2 linked regions of the Oryctolagus cuniculus genome follow. Each later gene encodes a partner of the first gene's protein in a complex. Links are inferred from orthologs where the notes say so. Each region holds a gene or a part of one and is shown on either strand. Other genes may lie near its edges.

Region 1 (4,221 bases):
TGGGCCATCCTCCACTGCCCTCCCAGGCCACAGCAGAGAGCTGGACTGGAAGAGGAGCAGCTGGGACTAGAACCTGGCTCCCGTGTGGGATGCCGGCGCTGCAGGCGGAGGATTAACCAAGTGAACCACAGCGCCGGCCCATTTCCCCCCAAGTTTTAACACATATTGTTTAAAAGTACACAAATTATAAGACTAAAAATGCTCACAAAAAGGCACTTTTTAAAAAAATTTATTTATTTGAAAGAGCTACACAGAGAGAGAAGGAGGGGCAGAGAAAGAGAGGTCTTCCATTCGCTGGTTCACTCCCCAGTTGGCCACAACAGCCGGAGTTGAGCTGATCTGAAGCCAGGAGCCAGGAACTTCCTCCAGGTCTCCCACATGGGTGCAGGGGCCCAAGGACTTGGGCCATCTTCTACTGCTTTCCCAGGCCACAGCAGAGAGCTGGATCGGAAGTGAAGCAGCCAGGGCTCGAACCGGCACCCATATGGGATGCTGGCACTGCAGGCGGCAGCTTTACACAGTATGCCACAGTGCTGGCCCCACAAAAGGCACTTGTAAATGGCAGCCAGATCAAGAGCTGTGTCATCACCATGACCCCAGAAGCCCCAGCCACTTGCAGACCAACACCTCAAGGATTAACAACCCAGTTTTTGAGTGGCAGAGTCATTTGTGTTAATGTGGTCACAGTGACTCTGACAGAGACATCACTCACAGGCTTCCCACATTTGTTTCAGTTTCTACAGGAAAGATATTTTTATTTTACTGTTTACATCAAAATGCTGGCAAGTGGCCACCTTGTAAAAAATCATGGAAGTGTTACCTTCACAGTCTCCTAATGTGTCGTGTGGAAAGTGCTTTTGATTGCAATAGAGAGCACCTTCAGTGTGACAAGTTCTGTGGCACCTTTCAGGGAGACTGGGAGGGTTTTATAAGGGCCACAGCCTTACATGGGTGGAGAGGTTAGTAGAGGCACTGGATGAAGGACTAAGGCAGGGACCAGTGAATTGGTGATTAGGAACAAGCTGGAGAGCCAGGATCCCTTGTAGAACATTTAAGCCGAACCACTCAAGCCGTGGATTTCAAAATGAGGTCATATCATAATGAATTGTTTTCAATGACCTGTCAGTTGTTAATACTGCTGTTCTTGCCCTTGATGGAGGCTTACTATTCACAGACTCCAAATCACAGGAGACACCGTGGGACAGCCCTGGATGTCATGTGTGCTCGAACCAGAAATGAACAGCATTTTTGTCATATCTGGCGTGCAGTTGCTTCTTTCTTATTTTTCTAAGTGGAGTGTTTCCAAGATCAGGGTTCATTTTGTGAAACATAGCGTTGCCATGATGTGAAAACCACAAATGAACATGTTTCTCCCATCCGTTCTGTTTTTCAGAGAGTGAGACTTCGCCATGGAGACTCTGGGACATTTAGGTTCTCTCTAGGAACTACAAAGTTGAAGGAAAGCAAATTTTCAAAAGGAAGTTGTCTTGAAAATATGTTTACAACTGACTGATGCTATTGACGGCTTTTTATTGTTTTATTTTTAAATAATAAAACACTTTAAGAAGATTATATTTATGGTAAAAGGAAACTGGACTAACAATGAGGCCAAAGACTTTTCCTGCCACGACTTATTCTGGAAATAGCCGACAGCGACTGCAGGAGATCCGCGAGGGGCTGAAGCAGCCGCCCAAGCCTTCCACTCAGGGGTTGCCCGTGGGACCAAACAGTGATGCTTCCCTGGGGAGCAAGGATGCCGCCAGGCAGCAGCAGAGAGCCACCCCGAAGTTTGGACCTTATCAGAAAGCTCTGCGGGAAATCAGATACTCCTTGTTGCCTTTTGCTAACGAATCCGGCACCTCCACAGTGGCGGAAGTTAACCGGCAGATGCTGCAGGAGCTGGTGAATGCAGGGTGTGACCAGGTGGGTGCAGAGCTGGTGACTGCTCATCCGGGGGTTTGTGCGTGTGCCCTTGAACTGCTCCGTTCCTTCTGCCTAAAACATCTTTTCTAGCTGCCTTTCCTTTTCAGGCAAGATCCAGAAGTTTCTGGGCTCTCCTGAAGTCTCCCTCCCCCATTCTATTCTTGTGCAGATGAGAAGGGCTTTCACACTTCACCCTTTCTTTGGGATTTATTTGGGGTTGTTCTGAGGCAGGCTTTGTCTTGTCTTTGGCTTGTGTATTTTTTATGTAGTTAAGGGGAGGTTTGATTGACATGCATTGGCAATTCTCTGACGCTGTTTTTCTCTCTCTCTCTCTTTTTTTTTTTTTTTTAAGATTTATTTATTTATTTGAAAAAGTTACACAGAGAGAGAGAGAGGACTTCCATCAGATGGTTCATTCCGCAACTGGCCGCAATGGCCGGAACTGTGCCGATCCGAAGCCAGGAGCCAGGAGCTTCCTCCGGGTCTCCCACATGGGTGCAGGGGCCCAATGACTTGGGCCATGTTCCACTGCTTTCCCAGGCCACAGCAGAGAGCCAGATCATTCATGGAGCAGATGGGTCTTGAACTGGCGCCCATGTGGGATACTGGCGCTTCTGGCCAGGGCGTTAACCCGCTGCACCACAGTGCTGGCCCCTGTTTTCTCTTGTTTTCAAAAAAATTGTGTATGTTGTTACAGGAGATGTAATTACATTCATGAGATGAGAAAGAAAAAGCCGAAGGAGCCATGGAAATATGGTCTGATTTCCCTGTTGCTTAGGAATAAAGGGGTACATTAGGGGAAGTGGCACCAATAATGTATAAATACACAATTTATAACTCTACATTTGTACCCCTTAGCAATTCACATAGCTGAAAAGAATCCAGATTAAGGGACTAGGCTCTCTAAAGTGGAGCTAAAATGTAATTGTGTTATGAAATGACTTAGGAAAGCCAGTTCCATCTCTCATCTCAGAACTCACAGTTGTATGAAAGGGAAGTAAGCCAAGTTTTTCTGTTGTCTTAGAAAATCAGCAAGAGTCTGTGCTCAGAGCTCTTCAGGATGGGGTGAGCACATTCAGTTCCTCAGAAGGAAGCTGGCATCGCAGTCCTGGGAAAAGGCTGGCACTGTCATCTCTTATTTCCAAAACAAAGCCCAGGCCTCCTATTGTAGTTTCTCATCATAGCATCTCACTGGGGATTGATGTGTTTGTGAAACGCATCCTTGCTCTTTTGCAGGGGGCTTCTTTGGCCCTGTGAGCTGTGCCAGGATTCACTTGCGAGTGTTGTTAGTTGGAGTTGCTTTTCTCAGGCACAGGCTGCAGACAGTGCTGGCTGCGAGACCACGTGCCACCTCCTGGCAGGACAGGTGTTAAGAGTAGGGAAGGAGCAGGCCTGGGAGACCCCGGACGTTCAGGCCAATGGCAAAGCTTTAAATCTTCTATAAATTACTTGCTGACCAAAGAGGCCATTGAGCCCCATGCCCTTGGCGTTTGTGTTTCAGCCGTGAGGAAGAGGAACAAGTTGAGCAAATAGTCCACGGTGATGTTGGTGGCATCTTAGTAGGGTCAAATCCATCAGCGATAATTACCGCCCATGAAATAATGAAGCCTTGCTGAGCCCCGTCAACATTTCACGTGTGTTACTTGGCAGCACAGAGAGCTCCATGTACCACAGTTATGCTTCGGAAGTGACTCTGTCTTTTGTGTGGAGTGCTGCTTTGTCGCCTACAACAGCTGCGCCTCCTTCCTTCCCTCCAACTCTGGCTGCTTCTGCCCTGGATAAAAGGTGCATTTGCTTTCAGAAATTTCCCACAGGAAAGTCATTGTGAGAGAGAGCAGAGATCAGCTGTGCCGCTAGAGCTGCACATGTCTGGATAAAGCAGGTTATTAGGTGCCAGGATACTGGGGGAAGAGAATCCTAGCCTAGCATCTTTCCCCTTTGTCTCCTATTGTGTTGCCTTTTAACTGAGTTGCAGTTTTGTTCTCCTGTACTTTGAGCTTCGGTGCTATCTTTAACGCCGGTTTTCATCAGAATGGCCGTAAATGCCCTGTTCGTACAGGGTCTTAGATACATGCATTTTATGCAGTTTTATTGATTGCATGTATACACACGTGCATTTATTTCATTTGATTCAGACCAAGACTTATTAAATGTCTATTTGATTTGAGTGTTTGTAAACATCTTTCTCTTCAGATATTTCCTTAAAGTAAAACTTACATTTAAAACAGGTATGGGTCTCCTCCGCCTGTGGTGCCAGCACACCGGGTTCTAGTCCCAGTCGGGGGCGCCAGATTCTGT
Region 2 (3,645 bases), on another chromosome or scaffold:
ACAAACACACTGAATGAATAAGCTTCTCACCAGGGTGGGCGTAAACGTGGCCGCACAGCCCATGACACCTCCCTCCTCCCTGGCCACGGGCTGGCCAGCAGCTTGGTTTCGGCCCTCCCTAAGCAACCTGCGACCCCTATTCAGTCCTCACAACAGTCCTGGGGGCAAGGACCATTTTGCAGGTGAAGACACTGGGCCTCAGGAGAGGCTAAGAACTGTGAACTAAGTGACACAGCAGTGGTGACCCTGGCTAACCAGGCCGGACCTGCTCTCGGCATTTCAGAAGGTGGCAGTGACCTTGGTACACCCCTTGAATTAGCTTTCGTGTTATCCACTGCCCAAGTCTAGAAAATGGAACTTGCCTCAAACCTCTTGTGCAGCAAAAAACAGCCGCTATTTAATCTAGTGATGCTGAGAGAACCGCAGTCACATTAAAAGCTAAATCCATGCTTTCATTAACCCTTGATTAACCAGGGTTCTTGATTGATTGGAGCCCAGCAGCCTGCTTTGAGAACAGGTTCACATCAAGACACGAAAATGCATGAATGAGCGAATGCGCCCGTTTACGTCCTAGGAGTAGGAAAAATCTAAGTGAAAATGAAGCGTCCTGTGTCTGTAAGAGCTCAGTGAGAACCGACGGGAGAGCCAGGGCTGTGCTGTAACAGGAAGAAGAAATCGCATTCAGGTGGACAGCGGAGTCGAGGGAAGGGCTGAAACAAAGTGCAGCTTTCTGCCTGGCCCTGCGTTAGCCAAGTGTTCAGCGCTCCAAGGTGGGTCCACCCTGGGGTGTTCTGGGTGTCTCAGGGCTACTGCAGGAGCAGATCCACCCGGCCTCCCCTTCTAAGGCCGCTCATCACGGCCCTGCTCAGAGCCGGGGAACCAACACCAAGGTGGGATTTGGAAGCTGAAGAAACGGGAGCCCACTCAACAGAACGATCACACCAGAGGCAGGGTTCACACCATGGTCCTCGGAACCACTCACAGTGTGAGCCCACCTTGTGGGACCCCACTGCTAACCTCTCTGACTGGCATAACCACCACAAATGGGATTTCTTTCACGTCGGATCTCTTCAGTAGAAAGCTTCCAATGAGCTTGTCCTACCCCCCAAAACCTGAGGTGAGGACTCCCACGGGCGTAGCCCACGTTGCTGTCCGATGGCACTGGGCTTCCTGACATGGCACTGCTGCGGATTATTAGGTGAGAAGCAGGGGGAGGAGGTCACGTTATAACTGGGCAAAAACAGTTCTCTCCACGGCCTAGGGCATATGGGGAGAGGGAGGAGCTGCTGTGGGGAGAAAGTAGGCACCACTCAATTAACTTCCTGCACAGCCACTGCCTGCCCCTCTCCCAGTGTCTGCGACTGCACTGCTCCGGGGGAGTGCCCTGTGGCCACCTCTCGCTCCCTCCTGTGGCAGCACTGTGCTCGGACAGACCCCCGTGCTCGGAAAGGCCTATGTGCACAAACGAGCGTCCATTCTGTGACCAGAGGCTGCCAGGTGTGACCACGGGGTGGCAGAGCTCATCACCACAGGAGAGGCCATGATCTTGAGTGAAAGACCCCATTCTCATGCTAGGGTTATCTGTCTAAGGAATAGGCCACCAAGACACAGGACTTTAAGACAGACCTGACTGGACAAGAAGCCATGACCTTCCCCAGCCCAACAATGTCACCAGATGGACAGGACAACCTACAGCCCCGGGACATGCTCTTCAGAACGAGGCAGCCCTCCGGGGCCCTGGACACCTGCTCTCAGACTCAAAGCATGCTGCGGCCAGTACCCAGGCACACCTGCCCTCAGGAGGGCTTGGCGTGGCCCGGGGACAAAGACAGGCAAGCTCATGCATGGGTTAGTATCACAGAGGGCAGGACCATCACCACACACAGAGTACCTGCAACAGCCTACTTTGAGGGCTCAAATGCAGATAGGTCTTCTGCCTTGGGCTTGAGGCTAAACCAGCAAAATAAAATGAAGAAAAACAAAAACACACCCTGTGATATCGACAATGCCACATTTGCAAAATGCTCAGACAGGCCTGAAATGGTGACCCGTGACTTCGCTGGTTTGCTTTTCTGGCTTGGAGAGGAGTCTCTCTGGGCTCAAGACGACACTCTTCCTGGTGTCCACATGAGCGGGGGCGAGGGGGAGCGGGCAGGGGATGGGGCCCGAGGCAGCCCCTGCCCAAGGCTGACCAGCTTCCTGGCCCACTCATTGTTTTCCCTCTTTGCTTAGTGGCTGGGCTTCCCTTTAGTTCCCCACTTGCTGTTTCGTAACTTCATTTTGGAAGGGAAACCCAGGAAATTAGAGAAGCCAGAAGACAGAGGAATGTGGCATGTGGAAATGCCTTTCCTCCTAGGTTATTCTATTAAAGGAGTTCTCTATCCAGTGCCAATTGTAACTGGAGTCAAGAGACGGAAGGCAGGGCTTCCGTTGTACCCATCTCTCAGAGTTTTTAGATACAGCTTTACCACTACAATCAGATGGAAACCGTTTTAAACATTAACAGAAAGAGTAAAAAATTAACTCTATCAATCATTATTTAAACTCAAGAAACAGCCTCATCTTAATGACACCAATTTTATAGGTGTTACTGTGATCCTGGGCTATCTGTTACCATCAGAGCACCAACTGGCAAGAGATGACTTTTCTGCTTTGCCCGAATAAACCAAGTATACTCTTGAGCTGATAATTAGCATGGAATTTAACTTCTGAGTGTCTAAGATGCCTAAAGCTCAATATACCACTGGAAAAAGATAGGAAATTGTTAGCAACGTAAATGAAGTCTCATTTTTTAAAACACTGCTTCTCCTAGACACTTCCTTTTATGTTTGAAAGAAGTTAAAAATTCAGAATTTGCTTCCTAAATCAAGAACAGAATTTTATAGCCTTTGCCACTTAAAAACACAAAAAGTCTAGCGGGGAGTCTGTTCTCAGCAGCCTCCATTTCATTTTGCTTTCTCATTAAGCAAGGAAGCTCCCTGGGCATAACTCCCTTTGGCTTAAAAGACAGAACCACTTTACTGCTAAGTGATGGATCAAAACCCGTCCTCTAACGGGCATTCATTTCATCAGAGCTTTTAACACAAGCTTCACTTCCATCAAGTCAATGGGTTCATGGTCACTGGCAGATTAAATTCCCTTTCTGGCAGGAGTCGAAAAATTTCCTTAACTAAGGACATATGAAAAATGACAACAGCCTAATGACTCGGCTACTGAGGGACCAGATGCCAACCTCACATTTCATTAATGATTGCCCTGATCAGCAGAAGCCGAGAGACTGCGGGTACCTTCTTGATGGTATTGTGCTTGCTGCTGGTGCCGCCCCGGTCAGAGTTCTCGTTGTGCAGGATGTCCAAAGCCGTCTCCCTCTCTTTGAGCTTCAGGGCCTCGATCTCGGTCTTGAGTTCATTGAGCTGCTCCTGCAGATGCTTGCTCTTTTCCAAGTATTCCACTCTGTGGCAGGAGACATTGTGTTATCATTGCTTGGGCCAACAGTGAGACGGGGCTGAGCTGCTGCTTGGGGTAGGATCCAGGGGTTCACCTCTCTACTTGGCCACTCAAGGGCTGTGGGAGCCAGGCTGGGTGCTTCACTGTGAGGAGTCTATTTCCTCATTGGTCAATTGAGATAACGGTCCTGGGGCTGTG

Evidence for each region. Proteins that work in one complex are often made in the same cells at the same time.
Region 2: the proteins of LATS2 (region 1) and NF2 are in contact, whole or in part, in a crystal structure (PDB 4ZRI), measured with the Homo sapiens proteins. The link is inferred for Oryctolagus cuniculus from reciprocal best matches to the Homo sapiens genes LATS2 and NF2. Residues at the interface, in NP_055387.2 of Homo sapiens: Tyr73, Ala76, Leu77, Glu79, Ile80, Arg81, Ser83, Leu84, Leu85, Phe87, Ala88, Asn89; in NP_000259.1 of Homo sapiens: Pro135, Glu136, Ala137, Val139, Leu140, Tyr144, Asn175, Leu176, Tyr177, Gln178, Met179, Trp184, Arg187, Trp191, Glu206, Lys209, Ile210.

The regions. Positions count from the first base shown.
Region 1 is NC_091440.1:91,958,866-91,963,086, reverse strand, and holds the start of LATS2 (serine/threonine-protein kinase LATS2), read left to right. Parts: upstream 1-1,395; 5' UTR 1,396-1,602; coding exon 1,603-1,923; intron 1,924-4,221. UniProt on the Homo sapiens protein: Negative regulator of YAP1 in the Hippo signaling pathway that plays a pivotal role in organ size control and tumor suppression by restricting proliferation and promoting apoptosis.
Region 2 is NC_091452.1:23,034,930-23,038,574, reverse strand, and holds part of NF2 (merlin), read right to left. Parts: intron 3,454-3,645; coding exon 3,288-3,453; intron 1,951-3,287; coding exon of another isoform or gene 1,915-1,950; exon of another isoform or gene 1,892-1,914; intron 657-1,891; exon of another isoform or gene 639-656; intron 1-638. UniProt on the Homo sapiens protein: Probable regulator of the Hippo/SWH (Sav/Wts/Hpo) signaling pathway, a signaling pathway that plays a pivotal role in tumor suppression by restricting proliferation and promoting apoptosis.